4 linked regions of the Coturnix japonica genome follow. The protein of the gene in region 3 interacts with the protein of the main gene of each other region in a pairwise test. Links are inferred from orthologs where the notes say so. Each region holds a gene or a part of one and is shown on either strand. Other genes may lie near its edges. The genes, in order: RBL2, CRABP2, CCND3 and CDK6.

Evidence for each region.
Region 1: the proteins of CCND3 (region 3) and RBL2 interact in a two-hybrid assay, tested with the Homo sapiens proteins (2 studies listed by BioGRID). The link is inferred for Coturnix japonica from reciprocal best matches to the Homo sapiens genes CCND3 and RBL2.
Region 2: the proteins of CCND3 (region 3) and CRABP2 interact in binary tests that used the Homo sapiens proteins (3 or more experiments, as listed by UniProt). The link is inferred for Coturnix japonica from reciprocal best matches to the Homo sapiens genes CCND3 and CRABP2.
Region 4: the proteins of CCND3 (region 3) and CDK6 interact in binary tests that used the Homo sapiens proteins (3 or more experiments, as listed by UniProt). The link is inferred for Coturnix japonica from reciprocal best matches to the Homo sapiens genes CCND3 and CDK6.

The regions. Positions count from the first base shown.
Region 1 is NC_029526.1:4,017,093-4,023,881, reverse strand, and holds part of RBL2 (retinoblastoma-like protein 2), read left to right. Parts: intron 1-492; coding exon 493-557; intron 558-2,535; coding exon 2,536-2,664; intron 2,665-3,091; coding exon 3,092-3,252; intron 3,253-3,346; coding exon 3,347-3,411; intron 3,412-3,749; coding exon 3,750-3,936; intron 3,937-4,256; coding exon 4,257-4,423; intron 4,424-4,918; coding exon 4,919-5,028; intron 5,029-5,429; coding exon 5,430-5,533; intron 5,534-5,898; coding exon 5,899-6,036; intron 6,037-6,447; exon of another isoform or gene 6,448-6,507; coding exon 6,508-6,672; exon of another isoform or gene 6,673-6,789. UniProt on the Homo sapiens protein: Key regulator of entry into cell division. Directly involved in heterochromatin formation by maintaining overall chromatin structure and, in particular, that of constitutive heterochromatin by stabilizing histone methylation.
Region 2 is NC_029540.1:635,213-642,766, reverse strand, and holds CRABP2 (cellular retinoic acid-binding protein 2), read left to right. Parts: upstream 1-2,909; 5' UTR 2,910-3,345; coding exon 3,346-3,415; intron 3,416-5,227; coding exon 5,228-5,406; intron 5,407-5,660; coding exon 5,661-5,777; intron 5,778-5,869; coding exon 5,870-6,040; 3' UTR 6,041-6,102; downstream 6,103-7,554. UniProt on the Homo sapiens protein: Transports retinoic acid to the nucleus. Regulates the access of retinoic acid to the nuclear retinoic acid receptors.
Region 3 is NC_029541.1:4,740,294-4,747,082, reverse strand, and holds part of CCND3 (G1/S-specific cyclin-D3), read left to right. Parts: intron 1-2,366; coding exon 2,367-2,526; intron 2,527-3,064; coding exon 3,065-3,207; intron 3,208-5,094; coding exon 5,095-5,256; 3' UTR 5,257-6,789. UniProt on the Homo sapiens protein: Regulatory component of the cyclin D3-CDK4 (DC) complex that phosphorylates and inhibits members of the retinoblastoma (RB) protein family including RB1 and regulates the cell-cycle during G(1)/S transition.
Region 4 is NC_029517.1:20,818,033-20,825,533, reverse strand, and holds the start of CDK6 (cyclin-dependent kinase 6), read left to right. Parts: upstream 1-3,093; 5' UTR 3,094-3,208; exon of another isoform or gene 3,209-3,318; intron 3,319-3,761; exon of another isoform or gene 3,762-3,872; intron 3,873-4,739; 5' UTR 4,740-4,980; coding exon 4,981-5,213; intron 5,214-7,501. UniProt on the Homo sapiens protein: Serine/threonine-protein kinase involved in the control of the cell cycle and differentiation; promotes G1/S transition. Phosphorylates pRB/RB1 and NPM1.

The sequences.
Region 1 (6,789 bases), on a different chromosome or scaffold from region 3:
TGGGTACAGGACTCCTGATGGACAGGAGGGCCTCATGGTTAGGACTAGTGGAGGAACCTGGTGCTGGTAAACAGCTGTAGTGCAAAATTCTCCATAGTATGTAAAATTTTATACAGAAACACAAAACACTTCAGCAAAGTGTGTAGGTGAGGTCTGTGAGCAAACAGCTTATAAAACCCAGTGTGCTGTGTGACGTGTGCCTTGCAGGACGTGCACATGTGCTTACATTGCTCACAGTACTTCAGAAGGCATCCCATGTGTGCTGCTTTGTTGGTGATGTTTGAATCGCTGCTGGCTGAGGCTTCAGCTGTGTCTGCTGTGAAGCTCTGAGCAGCTACTGCATTATTTCAGACCAGTTCTTACTTTTGTTATTTTTTGAGGGGGAGGGATACAGTTCAGATTTTAGCTGCTCTGTGGCAAAGCAGCTCTTTGAGAACGATGGGATGTCTGTCCATTGTAAGTCATTGAGCTTCTTGTGTTTTCCCCCCAAAGGCGACAGCCGTGCACAGTGACTGAAGTTTTCCAGTTCTGTTGGGTGCTGTTTGTTCATGCGAAAGGTAAGAGATCTGAAAGGGGCTGAATACCACAAACCCCTTCTTGTTAGTCTGTATCAGTCTGTAACCGTGAGCCAGCTGCAGGCCCTTCAAAGAAAGTGCCTCCTTGGAGCAGTCTGAACGAATGCACCTGAATTCCTGCAGCTGTTTGTTTTCCCAGCTGTCGGAGGTGAGCACTGTGCCCTGCCAGCCTGGTAGCTTTATCTGAAATACTGCTCCAGGGTTTGCTGTATTTTGGCGATTTAGGCTGTAATACTAAAAGAAAATCAGCTCAGAGTTGTAGTGAATTCATATTTTGATAGTTGTAATTAATGTAAATTATTGCTTTATGTTCCCTAGGAACAAAATGATTTTAATTTCCTTATAAGTTTCAAATAACAGTGATAATACATAATGGATTCTGTTCTGTAACACAGAACTGTGTCATGAGGCTGTAGCTGAGGGGACTTTCGAGGCACTCTCACAGGTAGCACTTGGATTTGTTCACCTAAGTGCCTGGCTGGAAGACTCAGATTCCCTTGGATCATACATGTGAAATGCTCTGTTAACAGGCTTCCCTGGAAACAAAGCAGGGAGGAGCCGGTATATTGCCGTGCAAGTATTGCCTTTATTGTAAGAGCACCCTTAAAGCTGATATGAATAGCAGAGGATTTCAGTCATTTTTCTTCTTTAATGACTGATTGGAGAAAAAGACAGAAGGGAATGGAAGTAAATCCTTTTGTATGAGGGGCAGTGAAGCTCCCCAGCATTTTTGGCTTAAGTTGTTCAGTTGTACAGCATCATCTACAGTAGGAATTGATTCGGGTACGGTCAGGATGGGTTCACTGGGAGTCCTTTGAACGTAAGTTAGGTCGTATTCTGGTCCTTCTGTAATTTCCAGGGAGTTGTTTTATTATTATAAGAACTTCATGAGAAAGGAGAGCTTGTGGGACTGCTTGGGATTGCAGGGTCAGTCAGTGTAGGCTTCCTGCAGTATCTCCCTGGTTGTTTCTGAGGATAGGACGCAGTACGTTGTCTCACTATGGACTTTCTGGCAGTAGCTCTGTCCTGTACAGCTGAGCCTTTCTATTCACCACCAAGCAGAGCGCTGCCAGCAGGCTTCATTTGGGAAAAGTCACTGGCAATATCCCTGGATCTTTGCAGGCATGTGAAGAAAGGTGTGATGCTGTACCAAACAACTGTGTCCTGTGTAGAAGCTGCTTCATAGGCTGCAAGTTGCTCCTGAACAGGCACAGAGGGTCTGGGCAGGTCTTGTTCCTGCTGAGTGTTGGTTGGTATGTTTGAGTAAGCAGGTCATCATTAAGTACGTGTTGACTGGCAAACAGTTTCAGACGTACAGATTAACTCTGTGGACTGGAACACAGTGTTGATAACAGCCCATTAATTTTATGAGACAAACAATTACAGTACTTATGAACTGCAAAATTAATAAGTGACGAGTGGTACCTTATGAAGTGTGGCAGTACAACAATGTGAAGTGAATGTGCACCACTGGAGGAATTGAATATTCCCCATTTGTTTGCTGTGTTTTGAGGGCCGGCAGTAATCCTTAGCGTGGCAACCACACATCAGCAGCAAGTTGAGGCTTGTCGCCGTGATATTTCTGCAAACCTCAGCATCTTGTGTTTGGTTTCACAAGTCAGAAAGCGTCAGTCTTGTTCCTGCACTTGGTGTATGCTGCAAAGGAAGGTAGTGACCCTTGTGGCCATAGAGCTGCTCTCATCTGCTGAACTTATTTATAGACTCTGATCAGAAAACTGAACATAAAGGTGAACAAACGCAATGATATGTGCTTTGTTTTAGCTGTGTCTGTTTTACTCCCTGTGTTTCGATCCAGATATTGACAATCCGGTCACCAAAATCTGTGCTTAAAATACTCCACTGTTGATTGGAAATGCAAATCTTGATAGTTCTGTTTTGTGAAATAATTTCAAGTCTATGCTGCTTTTAATTAATCTCATTTATCTTTCTTGTTTTGAAGGTAATTTTCCCATGATCAGTGATGACTTGGTCAATTCCTATCATCTCTTGTTATGTGCTTTGGATCTGGTGTATGGAAATGCTCTCCAGTGCCCCAACCACAAAGAACTTCTGAATCCCAATTTTAAAGGTATGTTGGGAAAAAAAAAGTCTTTATCTAAAATCTGCACAAACCTCTGAGGCTGCTGAAATGGATGTGAAGGTGGGCGGTAGGCAGAATGGTATGGTTCATTTTCAGTACTGTGTTGTATTGTATTGTATTTACTGAATAAATAATACTGAACTTATTTGAATAAATATTACAGCTCATAAGTGCTTCATCATTTGTCTATTAGAACCGATGCTATTTATCACTGAATATCTGAGCTCTTTGGGTTTGTCACTTGAAAGGCAGTTCTGATAAGATTATCCAGTTGAGGGTGTACAGCTTTTCTTTCGAGGGGACAAAATAGTTTTCTGTTTTAATTTCAGGCTACATGGGCATCATAGCAAAGAATGTGAGTTCACTAAGGTATGACTATTCGGAATCAAACAGTACTTCCTTTGTCTCTCTATAGGTCTGCCTGAAGACTTTCACAGTAAGGATTATAAAACATCATCTGACCCCCCCTGCATCATTGAAAAGCTGTGTTCATTACATTACGGATTAGTTTTAGAAGCAAAAGGCATCAAGGAGCATTTTTGGAAGCCGTACATTCGGAAACTTTTTGACAAGAAGGTTGGTGGGTGCATTCAGGATGCAGAAAATGCTTCTCTACTTGTTGTCTTCAGAACTTTAACGACTGCCGTGTCTCCGTTCTTTGCTCTTTCAGCTCTTAAAAGGAAAAGATGAAAATCTGACTGGATTTCTGGATCCTGGAAACTTTGGAGACAGCTTGTGAGTCAGCTTGTGCTTTGGTCTGCATTTGTGTCCCTTTGGGTTATTACCTGTATCTTATCACTAATACTAGCTAGTTAATTTATAGATATATTACTATTTATATATTATATTAAAAGGCATTTCAGCTCTTTGCTGGTTGAGGCCTTTTCAGCATAGCATTGCTCGATGTCTGCTCTTGTTCATGTTTCCATGGTCTTTTCTATACGATGTAAAGCGTTAGGAAGAAAAAGCAAGTTCTGAGGCCTTCAGATAGGCCAAGAAGTGTGTTCAGTCAGAAAGCAGGTAGTGAAAGCGCTGTCTAAACTAAAGGGCTTTTTTTCTCTTTTCCCCTGTAGCAAAGCCATCAACAAGGCCTATGAGGAGTATGTCTTGTCAGTAGGAAACCTCGATGAGCGAATATTCCTCGGGGAGGATGCAGATGAAGAAATTGGAACTCTCACACGGTGCTTAAATACACCCTCAGGAATGGAAACAGCTGAGCGAGTACAAGTGAAGCATAATTTACAGCAGCACTTTGACAGAGTGAGTCTGGCACAGTCCTTTGATGTTCCTGTGGAGAAGGAGTTGTCCAATTGTGGCGTTTCAGCGTGAGGTCATTTTGTCACTGCTCAGATACTTCTGTGTTAGTATTTGACACAGGCATCCAAGCCACAGATAGACCTGATGCTGATGGTTGTTACTGGGAGAGAACTGGTTTGGGTTGTTTGATTCCAGCTCTCCTTTCATAGATAGATATATATTGTAACCAGCTAAGAAACAATTCTAGCACCTGACACTTTAAGTCTCTTACAAGGTCTGAGTGCTGTAATAATGTACAGAGAGATGCTTTGTTTTCTTTCTAGTCTAAATCGCTTCGGATGTCGACCCCCCTCACTGGCCGCAAGTACATTAAGGAGAGCAACCCCTATGTGACACCCATTTCCATAGCAACGTACAGCTTGAGCCGCCTTCACACCATGCTGGCGGGGCTGAAAAATGCCCCCAGTGAAAACCTGGAGCAAATCTTCAGGTAACTTTGATGCTTAGCTACAAAAGTTAGAAACTATAATAACAAATGTGAAATAGCGTAACTTAAAAGGTAAAGTGTTGGAAGCCTGGAGTGAAATAGGAGCCAGAGGGACATTCAGCTTCAGAAAGGCTCTTGTCTTTATTTCTGCACGTTTATCCTTGAGAGATCGACAGTGATAACAACACCCAAATTTGGAGCTTCACTAACAGCAAACTGCCATTGCAATTTTTTCAAGCCTTTTCTTATTAATTCACATTGGAATACGTTGTTTAGTATTAAACTCTTATGACGAGTTGACGCTCACTGCAGTAGAATTTGCTGTGGATGTCTCACAGTGCATTTCCAGCAAGGCACGTGTGGGTGTGTTTGCATTGCTGTCTATCAAAGATAATTTACAGCTTCATGCTTTAATCCTATTGTAGGTTTTTTTGGTGTGTGTGTATTTGTGTTTTGTCTTAGCAGAAATAGAACACTTAAACTAGCTTGTATTTTCAGGGCGTGTTCCAGAGATCCCTCACAGTCTATTGCAAACAGAGTCAAAGAAATGTATGAAGTGTATTGTCAGAGCATGCAGACTGAAGAAGAGTTCAGTAATTTGTCCAAAGGTGGGAAACATTTTACTTACATAAACAGGAATTCACATGTATTTAAAAACACTGATCTCTTCCAAGTAAACTCTGCCTTATGTAGAGGCTGTGCTTTAGCACAAGAGTCTTTTCTATTTCTTCTCTCTTTGCCTGCTAGTCTTACAGTAGGGCAACTTTCAACCCTATATAAACTTCCATAATCATACTTGGCATAAATCATAGGGACTTGATGATTTTTCTATGATGTTTTACAGGAGGGTGGAAAGAAAAGCACTCAGAATTGTTCTTCTCTCAAGGGTGCCTTTTTGTCACAGCTGCACAGGAGTCCACACAAGCAAATAAGCTGCTGCTTTATCACTGTAGTTTAAGATGAATGATGACACCTTTACTGCAGTTCACAATATTATTTGTGTTTACAGATGTGGCCAGCAAGCATTTCCGTCGTGCTGAGGTGCTCTACTACAAGGTTTTGGAGGCAATCATTGAGCAAGAGAGGAAGAGACTGGGAGACGCTGACTTATCTGTAAGGACAACTACTCCAATTGCACCTTATGTTTCAAGTTGGATCTACAAAAAAGGAAATATTGATATATATTTATAATATTTTATTACATACTGCTATTTTAAATGAGTAAATCTCCCAGGTAGTTGGAAGGTGTACCTGAATGGAAGGAAAACTACAAGAAATTGTTTGTTTGAGAACAAAAATGGTATATGAAATTTATAAAGAGTAAAGATGTCTTCATTTGGATTCTGTTCCATCAGGTACAAAGGGAAATCCCATGTTTAAAAGCTGGGTAATGTTGCTGTGGAGGCAGAATAGAAAGCATGATCCTGTTGTGTTGTTACACTGTAGATGAAGCATTAAAACAGACAACTCTCTTGCAGGCTGTACTGGAGCAAGACGTGTTCCATCGCTCCCTGCTGGCGTGCTGCCTTGAGATCGTCACCTTCACATACAAGCAGCCTGGAAACTTTCCCTTCATCACAGAAATATTCGACATTCCAGTTTATCACTTTTATAAGGTAAAGTGTTTAATAGCTAGAAATGTTGATCAAGCCCTGCGTACTCAACTTGTATTAAATAATCTCTTTACCTGAATGCTAAAATGTGAACTAACTTCATTCTTAGCTTTGCCTCTTTTTGTCTTGAAAGTACTTTACAGCTGGCTTGGGCATCTAAAAATCAGACTGCTGTTAATCAGTGGAATGCAGGAGTTTGTCCAAGTGACTAATGAATTGTCACCTATCTTGAACTAGGGACCAGGGATCCTGAGCTGCTGCTGCAGCTGTTCTGCATTCACTGCTATGTGGGAAGATAAACTTGCAGCCCAATTGAACCACACTGACACAGTCTAACAATTGTTCTTGTCTCTTCCTTGAGAAGAAGTTAGGATCTCATTTCATTGTAAGAAGAAATCTATGAAAACAAAGAGGTTATACTCAGTCACTGATTTATTCAGTATTACATGGACTTCATCCTTGTCTGCTTTACAGGTAATTGAGGTTTTCATTAGAGCAGAAGATGGCCTTTGTCGGGAAGTTGTGAAACACCTTAATCATATTGAAGAACAGATCTTGGAAAGCATGGCCTGGAAACAGGAGTCCATCCTGTGGGACAGAATCAGAGATAACGACAACAAAGTTCCGAGCTGTGAAGAGGTGAGCGCTGCTCTGTATTGTGTAACATGGCTCACGTGGGGCTCCTGTTCAGCAGAATGGTGGAGGGTGGACATCAGCTCTTGCAGGAGAGGCTTCGCATGCCCAGACTTACACAGT
Region 2 (7,554 bases), on a different chromosome or scaffold from region 3:
CTTTGGGTTGTATGGACAGAGCTGTCCCCAGCTGGGGACCCCTCATCTGCACCTGAGCCCTGTCGTGGGATTAGAGGAGCAGAGGAACTTAGGGAACAAAATGGGTCCTGCTGGGCTTAATTTAGGTTATGCTCTCTTCTTCTTAACAGTAAGATGAAAACACACTGGCACTGTCCCTCTCTGCTGGACAGAGTGGGCTGGGAACCAACTGGATCTTACCCTTGAGCCCCCTACTGCTGCTATTCCCTTGGCCATGGGCTCTGCCCACCCAGAGTCCTGCTGGGATGGCAGCAGGAGAGAGCTTCAACCCTCACTCCCTTCCCTGCATGAAGAGTGGGGCAGCCAAAACCAACATGCCCAGCCCAGCCTGTTATCCCTGTGCACCTCCTCCATCACTACAGCTCCAGCTGGTGGGCGCTGCCGGAATGGTGTCGGTGCTGAGCAGACCATGGGGAGCTCAGCCAGCCTGGCCGGTGCATCTCAATGCGTAACTGGACGCGACGGTTCTGAATGCACGTCACATTTTCCAGTGTTTTTTGGGGGTGTTTATTCCTTTATGCTCAGCTCTCAGCATGTCCCAGGCAGGGATAAGGGGTGGGAGAGACAATCGTGGCCGGAATAAAGCACTTCCCAACCTCCAGATGTTTGGCTGCGTGACGAGAGCGGCCGAGAGAGAGACACTCATTAAATATCTGTTGGGTTTGGGGATGTCTGGGTCATTAGGAGGGGACAGTGGGGCCCTAGTGCAAAGGATAGGGCCAGACAGCAAAGACTGAGGGGGGAATTTTAAGTGGAGCCCTTTATTTTGTGTATGAACACTGAGGTTTTATCCACTGTGGCAATGAGGGATGCCCAAGCCATGCAGTGGTGGAGGGGCACAGGATCAGGCAGCATGTGCCTCATGTAACATGTGTCCATCACAAAGCTGTTGTGGCCCCCGAGCACAAAGGAAGGTGAGGAGGAACTGGAGAGGCCGGGTGCCTTTGTGTCTGGCTGAGTTTGGAAGCAATTAAAGTGGGGTGGGAGTTTACAATCTGGGTTATAAATGGCCGACCGTTAAAGAAAAAAAAAAGAGATTTTACGTCTGGAAATGAGAACCAGGCAGTCCAGCCCCATCTTGTCAGCAGATGGTGCTGGGTGAGCCCATGCTTAATGGAGCTCCTGGGGGGTCACAGCCTGGGGATGGGGGGCTCACAATGGGGTCCCATGGGTGCTGTGCTGCTGCTGTGCACCCTACAAGGGGCTCAGGGTTATCATTGTGGTCACTCCATACAGCTGGGGGCACTGGGGGGGCTGTAGTGGTGTTCAGATGGCTGCGGTTTGCTGGGTGTATTGCAGTGCCAGCTGTTTCCAGTGGCTGATCGAGCTGTGCAGCTGAATGTGGGAGCTCCGTGGCTCCAGCATAATCCCCATCTCCATACACAGCCATCCCGGGATGAGTGGCCCCATGCGGGTTTGTAGCCAGAGCCAGAGCTTCATGGGCCAGGAATGGGGGGAACAGAGAGGGTTTATCCCCACCCTTCCCCATGCAATTCCTTCCAGATGTGGAGCTGTCTGGGGGTTCTACCCTGTTGCATCCTGAGGGCTCATTGTGAGGGTCTGCAGCTTTGCTTGCACCCCACCCTTGCTCCCCTGCAGCCGGTTCTCCTGGAAATGTGGCATTTCTTTATTTTTTTTTTCACTCTTTTCTCCAAATATGGGGGTAAAACGTTCAGCATCATTCATCCCCTCTGTGTGCCGGAGGGGACATAGATCCTGTTACACAGGGATGAAAGGGATGGTGGAGGTGACCCCCTGTTAGACCCCCTCCAACTCTGCCCTGGGGGGTTGCAAGGGTGGGTGCAGTGTGAGGTTTGTTCCTTTCTCTATGATTCCAATGCACGGAGCATCGGCAACGCTGTAGGTAAGGTTATGTCAGCCCTTTTGTTACAAATCCTGTTCTTCGGGGGATTAGAGGCATGCTGCAAGCCAGGGCTTGGCTCACAAAAAATCACAGCCCAGATATTTGGGGGCGAGGAAATCGGGGCCAGGAAGAGGGGAGGTAACTCATAGGAAAAGGGGTTTCAGGGATAGGAGGGAGCTGGAAGGCACTTCTAAATGTGTAAGCAATGAACTCAGCTTTACTGTTGGTTCATATGGGCTGTGATATCCAGCTGATGGGTGCCCTCAGCACCCTAAATGTGCTGTGGGACAGTCTGCTCTCCTGCATACAATGGGGATAGTGGCAGCATGGACATGACTGAAGGTGTCCAGCACAGCATAGTAATCTATTCACCCTCTATTTTCACTCCCAAAATCTTGTCTCCTTCCTTTTCAGGGCTGCCAATAGATCAAACATCATTTATTGTGCAACAATGGGATGGCATCAAGGCACAATGTGCCCCACACAACTCCTTCCTCGGGCATCTCACCAGATAGAAACCCCAGCAAACGATTCATCGTGCTCTAAGCAGATCCAATCTATCAGAGCTTTAATCTCACATTAGCAGTTAATCTTGCTTTCCCCCCCAGGCCTGCAGCCAAAGCAAACTTCCCTCAGCCCAGCACAGATCAGTGGGTTCTGTTTTGGGCACGGGGGCTCAGGATAGAGCGGGGCTTGGGGGGGCTGTGGAGAGGATGGAGGTAGATTAAGTGATGCAAGAGGTATTGGGGAGATATGGACAGCAGGAGGGTGATAGGGATTTGGAGTGGGGGGGGGATGTGGGAAGCTTGGGGGGGATGTGGGTAGTTTAGGGGGGATGTAGATTTGAGAGAGGTGCAAGCTCGGGGGGCAGATTGGGGTTGAGTGGGGAGATGATGCTATAAAGGGGGATGAAGCTATAGGGGGGATGTAGGCAACATGTAGGGAGATGCGGGTTGTTTGGGAGGGACCTCAATAGGGGAGATGGGGGCAGTTTTGGGGGGGACGTGTGAAGTTTAGAGAGGCTCTGGAACTTTAGGGAGATGCTGCAAGTTTTGGAGCTGATGGATGATTTTGGAGAATTATGGAAGTTTTGGGGGAACGATGGAAGATATGGGGATGAATGAGGGGTGCCCGTATTCCTCACCCCCCACCCTCAATTCCCTCCCCACCCCCCCGGGCTGTGCCGGTGCTCGGCCCCACAGGTGAGAGTAGCATGGGGCTCCTCCGGCAGCGGGGACGGGGCGGGGGCGGAGCGGGTGAGCCCGGCCATAAAACGGCAGCGCGGGGCCGGAGCCCGATTGAGCTGCAGCGGGGTGGGAGAGCGGCGGTGCCGGTACCGGAGGAACAAACGGAGCGGAGGTGCCGGTGCCCCTCGGTGTGTTTCCACCACCTGCTCCTCTCAAGCACCATCACCCCTTCCCCTGTGTCCTCGGTTCGCCGCGATGCCCAATTTCTCCGGGAATTGGAAGATGAAAAGCTCCGAGAACTTCGAAGAGCTGCTGAAGGCGTTGGGTGAGTGCGAGCCCCTATGGATGGGTGAGGAGAGGGGGGGAGTCCGGTTCCTATCGCCCCCCAAAACCCTCCAGCATCGCGGGTCGGGGATTGGATATAGAACCCCCAGGGCTCCCCAGCCCCTCTGCTCCCTACCCCTGCATCTCGCAGCCCACCCCATTCTTTTTCCCCTTGGGGAAACTGAGGCACAGCTTGGATCCCCCCACCCCCCTCAGCTGCAGCCTGAGCTCCTCGCTCCCTTCTGCCTGCCTCAGTTTCCCCACCACAGTGGTATAACTCTGCACTGCACACCCTCAGGCTCTCCCTGCACTAACCCCCTCCCCCAGCACCCCACACCCCAATTGCATCCAATGGGATGGAGTGTGGTGCCCCCAAATCCAGCCCCAGCCTGCAGAGCTCAGTTTGTCCCTCACTTCTCCCCCTCTCCATCCCCCCCTCAGCACTGCAGGTCCTAAGCATGGAGACACCACGGGGGTCTCAAGGTTTTAGGCAAGGCTGGAGCCCCCCTACTGCTCTCCTTTGCCTGACCCCTCCCCACCCGCCGAGGAGTCGCTGGAGCCGAATATTTTCCAAGTTAGGGGATACGTAACAAATACTTCAGTATAATTATCACTTTCTTGGATTTCATTCCCTCTTCGCCCCCTCCTCCCTCTTTTCCCCCCTCCATCACCGCCCGGTGAAGCGGTGCAGGGAAACCTCATCAGGAAAATCAATCTGCCGGGCTCAGAGCAGGCTTTGCCTTTCCCACGCAGCACATGGGGCTCCCCCTCAGCCCTGGGTGACACCCCCTCCTCCCTCCTTTGGAAGCACTGTGCTACCCCCATGGCTCCTACTGCCTTTGGGGGGGGGGCACTTTAACTTCATGCCCACACAGGGGGTGTTATTTAGCATCAGGGTGGGAGCAGCCCTAAATGGATGCATCTGTTCCTGGTGCAGGTTTTGTTCCTCCAGGGATGCTCTGCTCTGTCTGCAGGGACCCTCCCCCCTTCCCCGGGGTTACGTGGAGCTGGATGGAATTGGGGAGGGGGGCAACGGGGTCCTGGCCAAGCGCCGACCTGCTGCCTGAGGGTCACACCATGGGAACAATGTCCCCAAAGAGCAGCTCCCTGGGGAGCGGGGCCGCCTGGGTGACAGCCTGGGGCTCAAGGCATGATGGATGAGCCCCTGGGGGAGTGGGGACAAAGCCGCAGCTGCACTGTGGTTAACAAGAAGGGGAGGGGGCTGTTGGGGAACAGTGATGGGTATGAGACCCCCCCCCCCTAGTCCTTCAGCCCCCAGATGTGGGGCAGGAGCCCTGCACCATGTCCCCGCCGTCACCCCATGTGCCTCCCAGTCACCCTCAGGCACATCCGGAGCCCACACAACTCTCCCCCCCCCCCCTACACTGAAGGTAACGAGCACCAGATGTGGCCCAGATGTGCAGATGGGGGTTCATTAAACCCCCCCATAGACCCTTCCACCCCCCCATTTCCATGTTGTGCTGTCTGCAGAGCTCGGGGTCCTCCCAAACTGTGTCACTGCCAAGTCATGGCGAGGGGGTTGGGGGGCAGCCACGTGCCCCCTGCCCTGAGCTGTTCTCTCTGCAGGGGTTTATGGCATCAAGCCTTGAGTGCAGAGGGGGGGGGGTGTTTGCACGACCTCGTGATCCCCATCTGCAACCAATTCCATAGTAAAGTAGCAGCATCTGTGGCTCAGCAAAGCTCTGGAACACTGTCCCAAGAGACACTTAACCTCCCCTCTATGGGTCACACACCAGGCCAGGCAGTCAGGATATGGGGAAGGGTCAGTCTGACACCAGTCCCCTGCTTGCAGGAGTTAATATGATGCTGCGAAAGATCGCGGTGGCTGCAGCCTCGAAACCAGCAGTGGAAATCAAGCAGGATGGTGAAAGCTTCTACATCAAGACCTCGACCACAGTGCGCACCACTGAGATCAGCTTCAGGATCGGGGAGGAGTTCGAGGAGCAAACGGTGGATGGGAGGCCCTGCAAGGTGGGCTATGGGCTGAGATACACCAGCCTTTGTGCATGGATGTGATGTGTGTGTGAACACACACACGTGTGAGCATGAATCTGTGTAAATGTGTCCCCTGCCCCCAGGTGATACATGAGCCTGGCAACTGCTGGCTGTGGGGACAAATGGGCCCCATCTGTTAGGTGGTGATGGATGGTATCGCCTGGTGGGGCTGGGGGCTGCTTCACATCTCCCCCCCTAACCCAGCTCTCTCTGCTGTCTCCCCTCTTTAGAGCTTGGCCAAGTGGGAAAGTGAGAACAAGATGGTGTGTGAACAGAGGCTGCTGAAGGGTGAGGGACCCCGGACGGGCTGGTCCAGGGAGCTGACTAATGATGGGGAGCTCATCTTGGTGAGTGGGGGGGGGGGGGAAAAGAGGAGGGTAAAATGGGGGGGTGGGAGGAAGCTCCTGGAATGGGCAATGACTGTTGCTCCTTATTGCAGACCATGACAGCCGATGATGTTGTCTGCACCAGAGTGTACATCCGGAGTGACACCACCAACCATCACCCCACAACGGCTCCATTCCCCCCCCCCCCCACCCCACACTTTTCCCATGGCCCTGTGTCCCCCTGCCCCCCTGTAGCTGCCTCGTGTCCCCCCCCATCCCTGTGACTATGGGGGTGCACTGAGCAACAGGGTGTCGGGGACCACCCCATCCTTTGGGTTCGAAGTTTGTTTTGGGGGGGGTTTATAACTGTTTTTGACCTCACAGCCGGTGCTGCACCCTCACCCTGCCCTGCAGCCCTGCAGCTCTTCTTGCTCTCCCTCCCTCCCCAGTATTTATTTGTGAATAGTTGAATGGAATGGAAACACTCAACAGCTCCAGTTCGGCGGTGCCTCGAAGCTCCGACCCCTGGGAACGTCTCCTCACCCCCCCCCCAACCCCACCCCCCCTTTCCCCTCTCCTGTTTCTAATAAAGCTCCGACCCCCACCGCTGTCCCCATCCCTCCCGGCCCCGTTTGCGTGCGTTGTTCCCTCTCTATGCCACAACCCCAATGTTGCGCAAAGGGCCGGGGGCAGAGGCGGTGCCGGGCTCTGCATCGTGCCACATCCCTGCGTGGGAAGCACGGGGCACCCGGAGCCCCTATGGGGTGTAGGGCTGGTGGGGTAATCCCAATTGATGCCATGGGGAGATGCTCATGGTGCCCCCATACTGTGTTAATGGCCCCAGGGTGGGCGATGAGATGGAGAAGGGAGGGGATAGGGGGCAGATAGGGGGGGTTCCTCGGCTATAAGGTGGGTGTGGGGTTGTTGTATAGGGAGCACTTGGCTCTCTCCATTTTAGAAGGCGGCGTTGGTGTTGAGTGCCTCCTGATGAGCATCCTGCCCTTGGCAATCTGATTATATGGGGAAAAGCCAACAGGAAAGCAGCAAACCTCGGTTATAGGGCTGAAAGCTTTAGGGGTAGAGAGACACAGGGGCTACTGTGCTGCTTCCCTGGGTGTGTCGGTAGTGGCAGCAGGGCTTTACCAGGAGTGGATGGGAAACAAAAGATGTGCCCTGGGAAGACGGGAGCGGCTGCAGATGCCTTTGGGGTGACGCAAGGATGGTTGAGGGGGGGGGTTAAAGGAGGGGGGGATGCTGTAGGTTCCTCTATGGGGGAGAGTGGTGGGATTACAGCTTTGGGGGGGAGGGAATGGGGGGATGATGGAGCAGTTCTTTGCCTCCAGGTAGCGCTCATGGAATGAGCCCCAAATCTTCCCCCACACCGGGATCTGGACCATTGCCGGCTCCTGACATCACCGTGTTGTAACGGGACCGGGTGGCACCAGGAGCTGTTCCAGTCCCCCCCCAAGTCCGATCCCACCCCTCTTTCACCCGGCCATGCGATGATGGGTGGTGGGCATTGCCGTCCCCCTCCTCTTTTCAAGCCAAACTCGTTTCTATCCCTTGAGATTCTACAACAGAACCGATCCGCCTCGAGCAGCTCTTAATGAAAACCATGCGTTCCAACCCCTCGGCCCTCACGGTTTTCCGATCCAAAGGAATATCCTCTTTCTCCGTAGCCGCCCAGGGGACGGCTCCAATTTGTCTCTCTTCCGAACCCCGGGCGGGAGGGGAAGCAGCAGAGCCGGTGGTGAAAGCGGAGATGGCAGCAGGGGCCCTAATGGGGGGGTTGTGCCCC
Region 3 (6,789 bases):
GCTTTGTGCACGGGTGGAATAGGTGTGACTTCTGCACCTTTACCTTTGGTATCCAGTCTTGAACTGTTTGGTCAGGGGATGGAAATGAATGTTTGCACTAGATTTTCTATTTGCAGACGGGCTGTCATGGCCTCTCATTTCTGTAGCTGTGTCTCAGCTGCTGAGGGTGGGTGGCCGACAGCCACATCAGCAGCTCTTCCACCCTTCCTTTGAGTCAGCTCATACCAGAGCAGCTCCTGCTTTGCTAGTGTAAAATGGAACCTTATCAACCCAAGTGACAAAATCAAGCACGACTTCCTTTCTCTTGCAGGCAGGGCTGCTGCAGAGGAGCTGGGCTCTGCTCCTTGTGCAGCACTGCCAGATGTGTTTACACAGCCTTCTCATAGGCATGGCGCATGTGTGGGTGTTGCTGAGGGCAGAGCTTGATTTACAGGGTGACTGTCACTACATAATGAGGAGAGAAGCTGCTATGACTCGCTTCGAGTTGGAGCTTGCAGAGCTGCAGATGGAGTAAAACCATCTTTGCTCTCGACTCAGATCCCCCTCGATGAGGAGCCTGAGATTGTTTCGCTGTAGTAGGACCATAGTGAGAAGAGAATACACTGAGTGATGCTGCTTCCCTTTTCTTTCTTCATTAGGATGTAGCTTGTAGGGAAAACCCAGCTGCTGTGAGGTTTCCAGCCCAAGAGATGTGAGCCAACTGTGGGGAGCTCTTGCAGGGCAGGGACTGGGTATATTCCCATTGATGGGATGCTTTCTGAGTGATGTTGGCAGCTTGCAGCCCTTCCACAGGGAGGTGGGACTCCACAGGCAAGAGAAACAAAGGAAACATTTTCCACTATCTTCCTCTCTTTCATTAGGCAGAGACCGTTGCATTTAGGTGCAAAACAAAATGCCAGGAAAAGGATGTTTGCTACACAGAGTGGTGCTGCTGTCGCAAACGTGCCTCCCTATCTCTTGCAGCCTTTTGTTCAGCTTCTTCCACAGATAAAGTGATTCAGAGATTCTGCCCTGCTGCTCTGAGAGTGGGGAGTCCCAGGAGTGAGCAGGAGGGAAAGGAGGAGCAGGCTGGTGTGGCCAGAGGGCAGCTTCCCCCGTGAGCTGGTAGCAGCCCTTAGTGCCTGTCACTGTCAGCCAGCACTGAGTGCCAGCTAGGGCTCAGAATCAGCCTCTTGTAACGAGGCTTTCGAGAAGCTGAACCTTTTTATTAGCTGGAAGAGAGCTGCTTTTGTGCATTGCAGACAGGCACATGGCACTTCTCTTTTGTGACTCTTCTCATGTCACCTCGCTGTGTTGCTCAGTTGAGTTGGTGGCCATCTCCTATCTAAGCCTGATTTTTTCCCTGCAGAACCAGGCATCCTGAGTGCTCTGTGCTGTGGTCTTCAGGTTCTGGATCTTGTTGCTGCATTTCTTGCTTTCCCTCTGTTGATTTGGCTGAAGAATACAGCGAGCCTGGCAGGCTGGCTGTCCATATGGGAGGCAGTGAGTCTGTTCTAGCAAAGCAGTGCTTTCTGGTTGGAGAAGCACAAGCTGTGAAGCAGCAAATAGCACATTGGGCCTGGCGGGGGATTTGGAGCAGGTTGAGCAGTGCTGTTCATTTAAGCAACTCAAAACCAGTGTTGTTGTTTTGAGGGGAAAGTGAGTTAAGGGGGAAAAAAAGAAAAGAAGGAAATGGAGATCTGCCCTTATGAAAAAATCTCACTTCTTCAAATCCATCTGTTCTGGCAGAGCTGTGGTACTTCTATGGGCAGACTGACCTTGTAATCTTAGACTATTTGGACAAAGAACAGATAATGTGCTGGGCAGGACCGGGCCCTGAAATGGAGTTACCTGATAGGAATCCCAGCTCAGCTCTCCCAGCCCCAGCACAGAGCCGTGCTGTGGTGCTTTCCTTCCCCTGCATGTTTGCAGGGCTGCTGTATTCCCTGTGCTGTGACAACCAGATGGTCCCTGTTTGTCCCACACTGTGCTGCTCCTGGGAGCCTGGGTGGCTCCTTTCAGGAGTGGGGAGGGAGCACAGGACTGATGTGTGTGCTGCTGCTTGCTCCGCTGTTGTTACTGTTGCAGCAGCATTGCAAAGCAAAGGAGTGCCCAGAGGAATGTCTGCAAAGCAGGTGGTTAATCTGGCTGCACCTTGGGAAGAAGAAACCGGATTTGTTGCTTCCTCTGCTCATCTTTGCTCCAGCCTTCACAGCAGCACATGGCTGGATTTGTGCCATAGTCACAGGGCAGGGACGTTCCTCTCTTCCTCCCTGCCTAAAGGGCTGTGCTGCTTTACTGGCCCTTCCCCAGACTCTGTGTGTACCTGGCCATGAACTGTGAATCTCTTCCGGACTTAGCCCTAACGTCTGTCTGTCTTTCTGCAGGACTGGGAAATTCTGGTCTTGGAGAAGTTAAAGTGGGACCTGGTCTCAGTGATAGCAAACGATTTCTTGGCTCACATCCTCTATCACCTCGCGCTTCCTAAGGACAAGATGGAGCTGGTGAAGAAGCACGCACAGACCTTCATTGCCCTGTGTGCCACAGGTGGGTGCCTGTTCCTGCTGGGAACAGCTGCTGGGGAGCAGCCTTTAGTGCCTGCCTTCATTCATGCAGAAGAGCTTTTCTGCTCAGCAGCTTGTTCTCTGTCCCTGACAAAGTAGGAGAAGTGTCCCGGGGGCTCTTAGTGGGTGCCTGGGAGATGGCGGGAGGAGCAGAGCAGCTGTGCCACCCCTCTGCCTGTGGCAGGCCATGTGCTGGAGAGCACGGAGAGCAAAGGCAGCTGCACTGTGAGCCTGGGTTGGCCTTGTTCTGTCAGTGGAGCAAGGTCACCTTTGGCACTTCTTTTGGTGAGAGAGGCCCAGGGAAATAGCTTGGTGAAGCTTGCTGCTGTGATGCTCAGCCTGTTTTCCATTGCTTTGCTCCTGTTTCTCCCTGCTAAGCTGGAGACTCTGCTCTGCCCTCACTAGTTTCCCATGAAAATCAGTCCCAAGAACTTAAGAGCTTGCACACAGCAAGAAAGAAGTAACAAATAAGAAGCTAACAGTTCCTTTTTTTCTCTCATGTGTCCTCATCCTGGTCTTAGACTACACGTTTGCCATGTACCCCCCCTCCATGATCGCAACGGGCAGCATCAGCGCGGCAGTGCACGGCCTGAGCATCTCCGTGAATGGCTTTGGTGGGGAGGCAGTCACCGAGCTGCTGGCCGGCATCACTGGCACAGAGGTGGTGAGTGTCAGCTGGGCAGCAGCAGGGAGGTTTGGCTGTGGGATAAGGTGGAGGCCCTTCCCATTTCTTTAGCTTGGTTTGAATGGAGAGGGGAAATACCTGTCTGTAATGATTCTGGCCCTGGTTTGGTGAAGGCATAAAGGCCAGAGAGCATTTCTAGATGTGCCCATGGCTTCAGGCGGCTCCCGGCCCCCACGTGCCATCTGTGCGGAGAAGGTGAGCTCAGAGCCTTTGAAAAGCAGCACAAAAGGGAGCGTCTGTTCCCTGTGCAGACAGGTGTCGGTGGGATCGGGTTGACCAGGCAGGCTGGGGCACTGGGTGAAGCTGGGCTTGGCATCTGCTTGCCTCCATGGTGTCTGGTTGCAGGTACCCAGGCTGGGGGCATGCAGCGTTACGGGGTAGTGGGGAGCATCCACCTGCCCCTCTGCTGCCCTCTGAGTGGGGAAGGGGTGTCACCAGGCTCCCTGTGTGCTGCTCACTCTGGGTGCTCTGAAGCCGTAGGAAGCTCTTATCCTGCCTGGGCCCCTTTTGATCTTTTCTTCTGTCCCAGCACAAATCCCGGCAGCCGGTGTGGGATTGGTTTCAGTCCCCTGACAGCAGTTCTGGGACTTGGAACTGGTGCCTCTGGCGGATGGGAGGCTGTGACCTGGCTTTGTGCACAGGGAGGGGATGGGGCAGGAGGGTGTCTTGCTTTATTCGTGCAGCTTTTTATATGTTTTTGTTTGCAGGAGCCTTTTTAAAGAGTTAATCAGTGCAGCCAGCTGCTTTCAAGCTGCTGTGGTGAATGGGACAAGGGCTGAAACCTGCTGTGGGCTGGGGTTCGTGGAGGGAACAGGTGGGAAGCAGGGGGGACACTGCAGAGGGAGTGGAGCCAAAACGGTCAGGGACAGCTCAGCTGCCTTCCAGCCTCAGCCAGCCCCTGCCCAGACCCTGCAGCCAGAGGAAGCCCTGGGGATGTCCCTATCTGCAGACAGGCGGCAAGTGGGGGCAGCTCCATGACAGCACGCTGTGCCCTGCGCTGTCCCCTCTGCCTGTCTCTGGGCTGCAGCGTGTTGGGCTGCGCTTACTGGAAGCGGCGCAGGGCAGGGGTTGGTGGGCGTTGCTATTTCTGCTAGCCACATCCTCTGACAGTTTCTAAGAACCGGCAGTGGATTCCTGGTAAGAGATTTCGATGTGTGACAATATCCCCGAGCACACACAGCCCTGTGGTAGCCGACTCGGCTACGGCCCTGAGGTGCAAAATGCCACCTCGTGCTGCTTGGTGACAGCGTGTGGGAGCAGGGCCAGGCTGTGCCCTTCTGTGGTGTGGCTCGTGGTGGTCACAGCAGTGCTTTGGTGAGGTGGGGGAGTTCCCTCCTCTGGTCACATCGGGGTCTGGCTGTATGTAGGTGTGAGTTCTGGCTTCCAGTTGTGCTGTGATGTGCGTGCCATCAGGCTCCCAGTGGGGATGATCTGGTCCTATTTGGGTAGGGGAAAGAGCAGCAGTGGCTGCAGGGACACACAGTGAGATGCAGAGTTTGAAGAGACCGTGAGCCTGAGGGAGGCAGCTGAGTCCCCAGGCCTGTACTTGTGTGTGTATCTGTCCTGAGTGATGGTTGTGGCCAGCCCAGAGATGTTCTGCTCTGCCCCTGAGCTTGGTGGGGGTTGGCTGCAGTGCTGAGCTCACTGCTGCATTCAGTGGGGAGAGGACAACCAGAGCGTGGGACTTCTCCTGGGGAGGGGTGTAAATGACAGGCAAGTTGGAAATGTCTCCTGCAGGAAAAGGGCTTCTCTGTGCTTCGATGCCTGGGGGCCAGAGGTATAATCCAGCAGCCACTCAGAGCTGTTTTAAGGTCCTCACTTCTGAACAGCAGGACTGAAGCCTCTTGTCCCCCCCTTCTCCCACAGGACTGCCTGAAGGCTTGTCAGGAGCAGATTGAGGCCGCCCTAGCCGAGAGCCTGAAGCAGGCATCCCAAAGTCAACAGGAATATAGCACCACCAAGACTGCTGCTTACCCGGCCAGCCAGCCCACCAGCACCCCCACAGATGTCACGGACATCAACCTGTGACTGCCTGCCCCTGCCTGAGAGCTGCCCATCCCCACAACAGCAGGACCCAGCCCCGGGCACCCAGAGCTCACTGCGTCCCCCCAGCCCATCTGAGAGCCCCTGTGCCTGAAGCCTGCTTTGGGGATTCACTCTTCCTGCTGGCTGTGTGAGGACAGCTCCACACTCATCCTTCTCTCCTCCTCCAGCACCATGGGGGGAAGGGGAGGGGAGAGCCAGGGTGAGGGCTGTGGTGATGCAGTGGGGCTCACTGCTGCTTGGACTCTGCTCGCTGGCTGCTGGGGGTGTCAGGGGTGAGCTGGTCTTTCTGTTGGGGGGGGGGGTGTTGCAGAAGAGCTGGGGAGGGTCGCAGATTCCAAAAGGAAATGGTAAAATGTTTCTGTTTGCTTTCTTTGTTGCCTGGATGGCAGATGTCTGCTGTGCTCAGGTGTGTTTACTGCTGCAATGACTCCCAGCTCTGCATGGGCCACCAGTTGTGCACAGCCAGCTCTCACCTGGCTTACGTGACCAAAATATCCACGACCCCCTTGTTGAGCACAGGGCAGGTGCTCGTGGGTCCTGGGTCTGCGCTGCGATGGATGGCTGTGGCTGCAGGGTAGTGTGACTGCTTCTGCTTGGAGAGACGTGTGTGCCTTGTTTCTTGTTGCCATTAGGTCTGGGATTTGCGGGTTCTTGGCTTTGCTTGGGAGAAGTTCTCCCTTTTTTGCATGGATGGCAGAGAAGTGCTCATCCTGGGGACATCCCTGGGGAGACGCGTGGGCGCAGCGTGACACTGCAGCGCTGACCCATGCAAAGTGCTTTGGCTTTCTGCTGCCCCACTGAGGCTGCTTAATTTATTGTTAAGTGCTATGAAAAGGGGAGGGAGGAAGGCTGCAGCTCCGTGCGGTGGGGCCTGGATGCTGCTCTTCTCTCCTTCCTAAAGTGCCTTTATCCTCTGTCCCCTTCCTTCGCTCCCTGGGCAATGGGAGACTCTCACTTGAAGCTGGTTGGCTGCAGGTAGCTCAGATGTCAGTTTAGATTTAGAGAAAAAAGAAAAAAAGAAAAAAAATCACTGAATGTGCTGCTATGGTCTGAAATGCATCTTCACTCCTCCAAGGCAGGGATCACATCGTGTCGGGGGGGCTGTTCTGCATCAGTACCCGAATGGCTCGAGTTGTGTCCTCACAGGGTAGAAAACTCGCTGCGCACTTGAGCTGAAAAGTGATGGCAAAGTGACAAAGTGATGATGGCATTTTGTTGTTCTTGTTGATCCTGTCTGTTCATTTTACAGAAAAAAAGGAAAAAAAAAAAAAAAAGTGTTTTTTAAAGAAAAAAAAAAACCATTCTATAATGCTGCTTTCCTAAGAGAGAACCAATACATTGTAGACTCATATTAACCAGGAATAGCCAGAGAGCCGCTGCTGGGGGTGTCCCTGCACACAGAGCAGCTGCTGAACTGCTCCTGGGGGGGAACCTGCTCTGGGTGCCACCAGAAACAAGTTTATCAGGTGGAAAAAGCTGGGGCTGCTGTGCTCTCACCGCCGATGAATTGCGAGG
Region 4 (7,501 bases), on a different chromosome or scaffold from region 3:
CGAAGCTGTACGAACGTTGGTGCTCTGAAGGGCGGCCGTGCGGAACCCTTCTGGTAAGCTCAGCACCAGAATCTCCAGCAGAACCTCCGCTCCCAGAACGCAGATGGAACGCACAGGGCAGAACAGAGCAGCGTCTCATCCTTTCTGAAAGCCTCGAGCTGTTCATCACACTTCTTGGAACTGCCACCACCGACTGCTTTACGCTCATTCTGGTAGTTGCCTGTTACCCATTTCAACACCGCCACATCATTCGCTGTTTCCAGCAACTTCACAGACCCCGCTTTTATGCCCATGGATTATACACAGCAAATAACACGATCTCTTCTTTGTTTCCATGTGGTTTAATCACAGTTTAATTCCAATCCAGGTAACACGTTTGGATTTTCCTGGTTTAAATGCAGTTCGGTAGAAGTTGTTTCTCTTTTTTCCAGTGTTAAAAACACTGGAATTGAACAAAGAAAGTAAAAAAAACCACCCATATTTTCCAAAAGAAAATAGAGATGAAGAGAGAGATCTCCTTTCTTTCTTTGGAGATAAACGTTCCCAATATTTTCCCCAATGCAAAACAAAGCCCTTTAGGTTGAAGTAACTTTAGAATGAGTGACTCATGTTATCCTGCCTGCATTTCATGCCATTTAATGAGCTCCTTAAAACACCAATTTCTCAATGTGTGTGCAAATTGAGAAAAAAGAAGATATCCTCCGTTATAAGTTAGAGATTTATTCATTTTTCTATGGAAAAACCTCCTTTGCCATCACAATGCAAGACGTGCGCTCACTCATTCCAATAGCGATAAAAGCTGCGTTACTTTTAGGAAAGCAAAGCGCAAAACATGTTTAAAATGTTGCTATGAAAGCCTTTTATTCAAAGCCCATTGTTTTGGTGATTTATAATGTCTCTAAATACATATTATTTCCAACACCCTCTGGACTTCAAGCTTTAAAACCAGTGCATTAGGTTTGATAGCTGGGGGTTGGAACTCAATGATCATTGCGGTCCTTTCCAACCCAGGCCATTCGATGATATTTTCTAAGAATCCTGACAGTTTGTTTCAGTAATTTCAGCCTCTCTGACAAATTCTTTGCAGTATCCACTTGGTTTCATGTGGGTATTTAGTTGTGTTTGGAAATTCCTTCCAAAATCCCCCAAGTCTCACGTAAAGAAGACTGAGAAAATGGTTTGAGGTCAGTCTGAGGGTTTTCTGTGGCTCTTTTAAACCTTGGGGACACAGAGGTGTATTATTGACCTTCAGGTGGGAGGAAAGGGGAAGAACAGGGGCAGCATTCTGAGAAGAAATCTTAGTATCACATCACACCGTGCTGAGTGTCCCACTCCTCTGTGTTGGGAATCCACGTGGTTGGACTGAAGGAGCGCTGTCATCTCACAGCAATCTCTATCGGCTTCCCCACACAGCAGATGCTTCTAAAGAGGAGGACCACCGCAGGTACAGCCCCTGATACAGGGAGGTGAACTTCAGCATCCTTCTGACAAATCACACACATCAGAAGTCATTGCAGTTCTGTGCTTTTAAATAAAACATGCCGTGAGCACGAATGAAACTCTTGCAAGGCACGCATGGTCAGCAGCAGACATCCGCATGGCACTCCCTGCCTGCTCAGTGGGACCAGCTCTCCTGGCCCCAGGAGAAAGCAGAGCTGCCCCACTTCTCACCCAGGCACCCAGGAACTGGGAAGGGCACATGGAGCTGTGCTGAGTTCTGGAGCTTGGAACACAAGCTTTGTTCAAGCTATAGGGTTGTATAGATGGTTGGTAGCGCTGCAAATCCAGATGGAGTAATTACATGCTTCTTTCTGATAGGAATTCTATTTGTTTGTACAGTATTAGATCTATCTATATATAAATATTTAGTTTCTGGAAATCACGCAGCGTATGATGCCATACATACAGCACACACTTTCTGAGTTATAAACTCACTTCGTTAAATCACATTTCCCATTTGAAGGAGACCTGGATCCACTTTCTCCCAGTTCAGCCCTGACAAGGGCTGCCCCCGGAGCCACCCCTGGGCCGTGCCGTGTGTTGGAAGGCACAGAGCTGCCAATGAGGCTCCCCACGTGGAGATGGAGCACATGGGTGAAGCGTTGCCGTATTTTTCTTGCGGTGCATTTTAGTACGATTTGCAGGTGCCATAAGGAACACGGGGAGGTGAGGGGGTTACTTCAGCTGGGGGGATTACTTCAGCAAAACGAGAGTTTCTTGGTGGTTCCCCAAAGTGCGTGAGTGCTGTGTGAATAGAAAAGGGGGGAGAGGGAAAAAAAGAAGGGAAAAAAAGTGGGGTGGGGGTGGGGGGGGAATTATGAGGGGGAAAAAAAATAGGGGGGGAGGGGGGGGTGAGGGAAAAAACAAAGTGATTTTTTGGGGAGAGGGGAAAAAAAAAGGAGGTTATTTCCCGGGGAGGAAAAAGCCCATCGCCCGGCGCGGTGATTTCCAGCTCCCCGCATGTCGCGCTGCCGCCCCGCACCGCACAGCGCCGGGACCCCCCGGGGCGATCGGGCCGCGCCGAGCCGCGCCGCTCGCCGCGACCCTTGCGGTATGCGGGCGGCTTGGCAGGGGCAGATGAAGGATTTCATTGAGTGTGAAGACAGAGAGCAGAGACAGAAAGCAGAAGGAGGCGGCTGCAGCCTTTGTAGTCGGGGAGGAATGCGGAAATGTTGAAGCACTATGTCAAACTTTTTTGAAACGGGGTCAAGTCACATTCAGCCAGCGTGGGAAAGCGGGGAGAGAAAGGGAAAAAGGCTTCGGGAGAGGGGAGGAAAAAAAAAAAAACACAACAGAAAAGCAGCGAGCGCTGCCGCCACCGCCGGGGCTGAGCGGGGCTGAGCGGGGCCGGCGGAGCGGAGCGGGGCGGGCGGGCAGCGGGGCCGCTCCGGGGCGGGCTGCGGCCGCGGGGCTGCGGGCGGCTCGCTGCTGCTGCTGCTGCTGCTGCGGCGGCGTCGTTGCTCCCCGGGGGCCGCGATTTTCCTTTTCCCCGGGCGGCGGGGAAAGGGGGGGTCGGGGGGGGGAGGGTGGGAGGCGCGGGCCGGGGCCGAGCGGGAGCTGCCTCCCGCGCCGAGGGGATGCGGGCCGGGGGCGGCCGGGCGGCGGAGCAGCTACCTGTGTGGCCCGGGCGGCCGGGACCTGCCGGAGACATCGCCATGTGAAGGGGCAGACCCCGGCCGGCTCTCCACCCCGCCTCGCTCAATGGGAGGTTTGTTTTAGGGAGGACTCACCCCCTCCCTCCCAACCCCCCCCCCCCCCAAAGGACTGCGGGTTATTTGGGGAGCCGCCGGCGGATCGGGCGGCCGCGGCGCGCACCAGGTAACGCGGGGAACCCGTGTGTGTGCGGCCGCGGCCCCGAGCCCACGCGCGGCCGGAGCGGGGTCAGCGCGGCGTGCGGGGGGCGGCGGGAGGGGAGGGCCCTGCGAGGCCCCGGGCGGACGGCGGATCGCAGCGTGCCCCCGCCGCGTGCGGGGCCGAGCGGTGTCGAGCGGGGGGCCCGGCTCCACAACGCCCCGGGGGAAGGCGGCCGGCGGTGGCGGCGCTGCGGCCGCGAGGAGCCAGGCCCGCCGGAACGCCGGGACGCCGGGACGCCGCCACGCACACGCGCGACGCGCCGCCCGCCGCCGGGGGGCGCCATTCCGCAGGGCCGGGGGCGCGGGGCTGAGTGCGGGGCGCGGGCAGGTGTCCACACGGCGGGGGGGAAAGGGACGGGAGCGGGGACGGGGAGCGGGGCCGCCTCGGGGCGCTTCAACGGCGGGGCTGGGAGCCGCGAGCCGCGGCCGTAGGTGCCGTCAGGGGATCCCCGCCGAGCTGCAGGGACTATTCCTGCTAGAGCGGCGTGTAGGGGGATGCGGCCCCCGGTCACCGTGTGGGTGCGTTGGTTATGAATGGGCGAGGAGGAAAGGAAGGGCTGCCGTGCCGCTGTGAGCGGCGTTTGCTCGTGGCCGTGCCGTGGCGGTGGGGGTGAATCGGGGCGCAGGGGAAGTGGCGCAGCCCCACGCCGTGCAGGGCAGCCGCTGCTCCGGAGCGAGGCTCGCACCCGGCGCCCGTCCCGCTGCAGTCAGCTGGGAGCCACGCTCGGGTCCTAGTAGTGGATCATTAGGCTGCTGAGGGCCGTGCGTCTGTGCTCCAGCAAACGGTGCTCAGAAACATGCTGGTATCTTACGGTACATGTATGTGTGAATATATACGCGCAGTTCTCCACGAGGCAGGAACGTGCGTTCTTGTATTCTTGCAATGCACAGCACAGGGTAGAGTAGCTCCAAGCTGGAGCCTCTCAGTGCTGCCATTTGCACGTGAGTACTGGCTGTACAGCATGGGATGGGCTTCAGGGGCTCCATGTGATTGATGCCCAAGGAACCAAGGAACCTGAGGAGCCTGCCATACTTAACTGTCCCATGAGTGTAGAGATTCTGTCGTCTAATGGAGGATACCACCCACGTCCCTCAGAGTCACGCTCTGCCCATCTCTCAGAAAACCCCCATTGCTTGGGGGAAGCCCAACCATGTGGTCGCTCTGGCCGTGCTGCAGCCTGGGCACATTGCAGCAGTGACCCAGGTTGTGTCAGCTGTGCAGTGACGCTGCCTGGCAGCCTCTGGTTTGCACCTTCCTTTGTGCGTGCAGCTCTCTGCTGTGCTAGCATCATTTTCTCAGTTTTAAGCCGCGCAGAGTAACAAAGTGAAGTAAAGCACAATGGCACCATGTTCTGACTGCTCCCTCTTGCTTGGTCTCTCCTCCAGATCTATCTGCCTTCGCACAGACCATGCTCCCAAAGACTGTATGATCGTTTCTGGTGACCGCCAGCGGAGGCTCAGTGGGGCCGGTGCAGCGGAGCAGGAGGCCGAGGGGTTCCTGCTGCCCCTCAGGCAGAGGTGGCGGCGTGTGGCTGAGCCGCAGTGAGGTGCCGGCTTCAGAAGCGAGCAGAGAGCAGAGCTGTCCTGAGCTGCTCTGGATCCCAGGAGGAAGCGGAGTGGCGGCAGCATGGACAAGGACGGCACCAACCTGGCCGACCAGCAGTATGAGTGCGTGGCTGAGATCGGCGAGGGGGCCTACGGGAAGGTGTTCAAGGCCCGTGACCTGAAGAATGGCGGCCGCTTCGTGGCGCTGAAGCGGGTGCGGGTGCAGACCAGCGAGGAGGGCATGCCGCTGTCCACCATCCGGGAGGTGGCCGTCCTCAGGCACCTGGAGACCTTCGAGCACCCCAACGTGGTCAGGTGAGGCAGCGGGGCCTGCTCTGTGCTGCATGTGCTGGGAAAGCAGGTTTGGGCGCGTGGAGGGCCGGCTCACCGATGGGCTTTGTGGGAAGAGCGAGAGCTCCTTTATGCACATGGAGTGTGGTTTGAGGTTTCGACAGGCCGCGGGGCTGTGCCAGAGCTCACCTCATCCCCGTGCTGCCTCCCACACACACAAACACCCATCTCCAGAGGCATAGGCGTGTGACAGCAGTGCTGGGGTGGATGGCAAGGAGCCCCATACACACCATTTCCTCAGGCGTGAGAGGGAATGAAAACCCAAGGGCTCCCTTTGTCATAGGTATTAGCTCTGACAGCTGCAGCTGATTCTTAACGTCTCATTCATTACCCAGAGATCATGGTTGTAGCATTAGTGGGATGTGCATTCCACTTCTTTAGATGCTTTTATTAATGTTTGCAGATCATTGTGTTAAAGAGGAGGAGATGCCTAAGTCTGAACTTTACAGGCCCTGTGAGTACTGTTTGTTGGTGAATACCCCAGGAGGTGCTGGTGGTGCTACCGAGAGTGCAGCAGGATGAATGCAGGCCTTGCTTCCAGCATGGTGGCAGTGGCTCCAGGTTTCCTTGCTGTTGTGTTGGTTGTGTAAGCTCTGAGTGAATGAGCTCTGTTCTGGGGCAGGTTCCCCATGCAGAGACTGGCTAGCAAGCATCTTTATTTGAATAGACTTGAAAAAGTGAGCTTTGCTTTGAGATCCTAGGGCGTATCATCTTGCAGATGACACTGCATCAGTAGGAATATTTCCTGCTATTTGTATTATTTTACTCACGTATTGCATAGTAAAAGGGAGTTGTTCCATACTTCATTAGTGCCAAGCCTCTCTGGGTCCTGGAGGAATAGAGACGCTGTGGTGACAGAGGTAGCTGTCAGGTTGGCTTGTAGCTGTGGTCACCATGTTTGTCTTAGGGGCTGAGATGAGGGCTTTTTTGGTAGTAAGTGGAGCAGGAAAGGTAGGAAAGGGAATAATTAAAATACAAAAGCCAATAGCTAGAAATAAGTTAGTTTTCTTTCATCTCAAGGCAATGTGATTGAACAGTCTCATTTCTGAGCAAACTGAACACGCAAAGAATGTTTAATGAAGTACTACTCATGGAGTGGGACGCAATAGGATGTTGTAGGTCTCCTTGCTATATCCAAGTGATGGGATGCAGGCTGCAGCTCACACTTTGCCAGTGCTGATCAGGAAGATCCACCATTTGCTCAATATAGTAACCATTATTCTGACAGGCACCCGGTAATGCCACATTGCTTGGTTGCAAAAACCACAAAGATGGAGGTATGTTAGTGTGGGCAGCGTTATGTCTTTGGTCAATGGATCAGGTGAATGGTGCACCCAAAGGCCTTTCTTGGCAATACAGATAATCGAGAGTTCTTAAAATCTCTCAGATCCAGCCTAGTAATGTCAGAGATGACATGCGGATTTAGATGCCCAAGTTTAGATATTTGTGTATGTTTAAAATTGTAAGCCTTCTTTGGGAATGATTAAAGAATGCTTGTGAACTTGATTTTATCACCGAGATCTTTCCATATGAAGTAAAAGATATTTTGAAGTGCATTCTAATTCAGAGATCAGAACGTGAGAGCCATTTCAAATACCATCTCTTCTAAAACAAGAGAAATAAAAGTAACCTCTGTTGTGCACACTTCTAATCAGTAGAGCAGATGTAAGTAGCACTTTGGAGTGGTTGAAATTGTAGCCGTGTAATGAAAGATTATTTGGAAATACTTAAATCATGGCCAGATTAGTAAATACAAATAATGGCAAAGGCATTGTGTGAGTACTGGAGTAGGAGGTGTGGTGTGTTCAGAGCACTGGGACAGCCACACTAATATTTGAAGCCGGACATTTTGTAAAGGGAATGTCTATTTTCTGAATGTTACAGGCCTGAGAGCAATGAGTGAGCAATGCAAATATCACATCAGATCCGTCAGCTCTGAGTAAAGGCGTGTGGTCCATGAGTTGTTCGGTACAAACTGACAGTCATTCTATGAGTCAAAATTCAGACAAGCTACCAAGAGTTGAGCTGTGTTTGAGCTGTGCTGCTGGGCAGGCGTGGTGATGGTACAGTGCATCAGCTGACGGCAGCAGCAGAAGCCACAAGCTGTGTCATGCTGTGCTGGACTCAATAGGTAGACTTGGGCCGGCCCTGAGCACTGTAAGGAGCTCAGCCCAGGGCTGTGCCATCTGCATGAAGAGGTGCTGAATGTGAAGAGCAGTATGGGAAGGAGAATCCTTGATACTTGCTTAGTA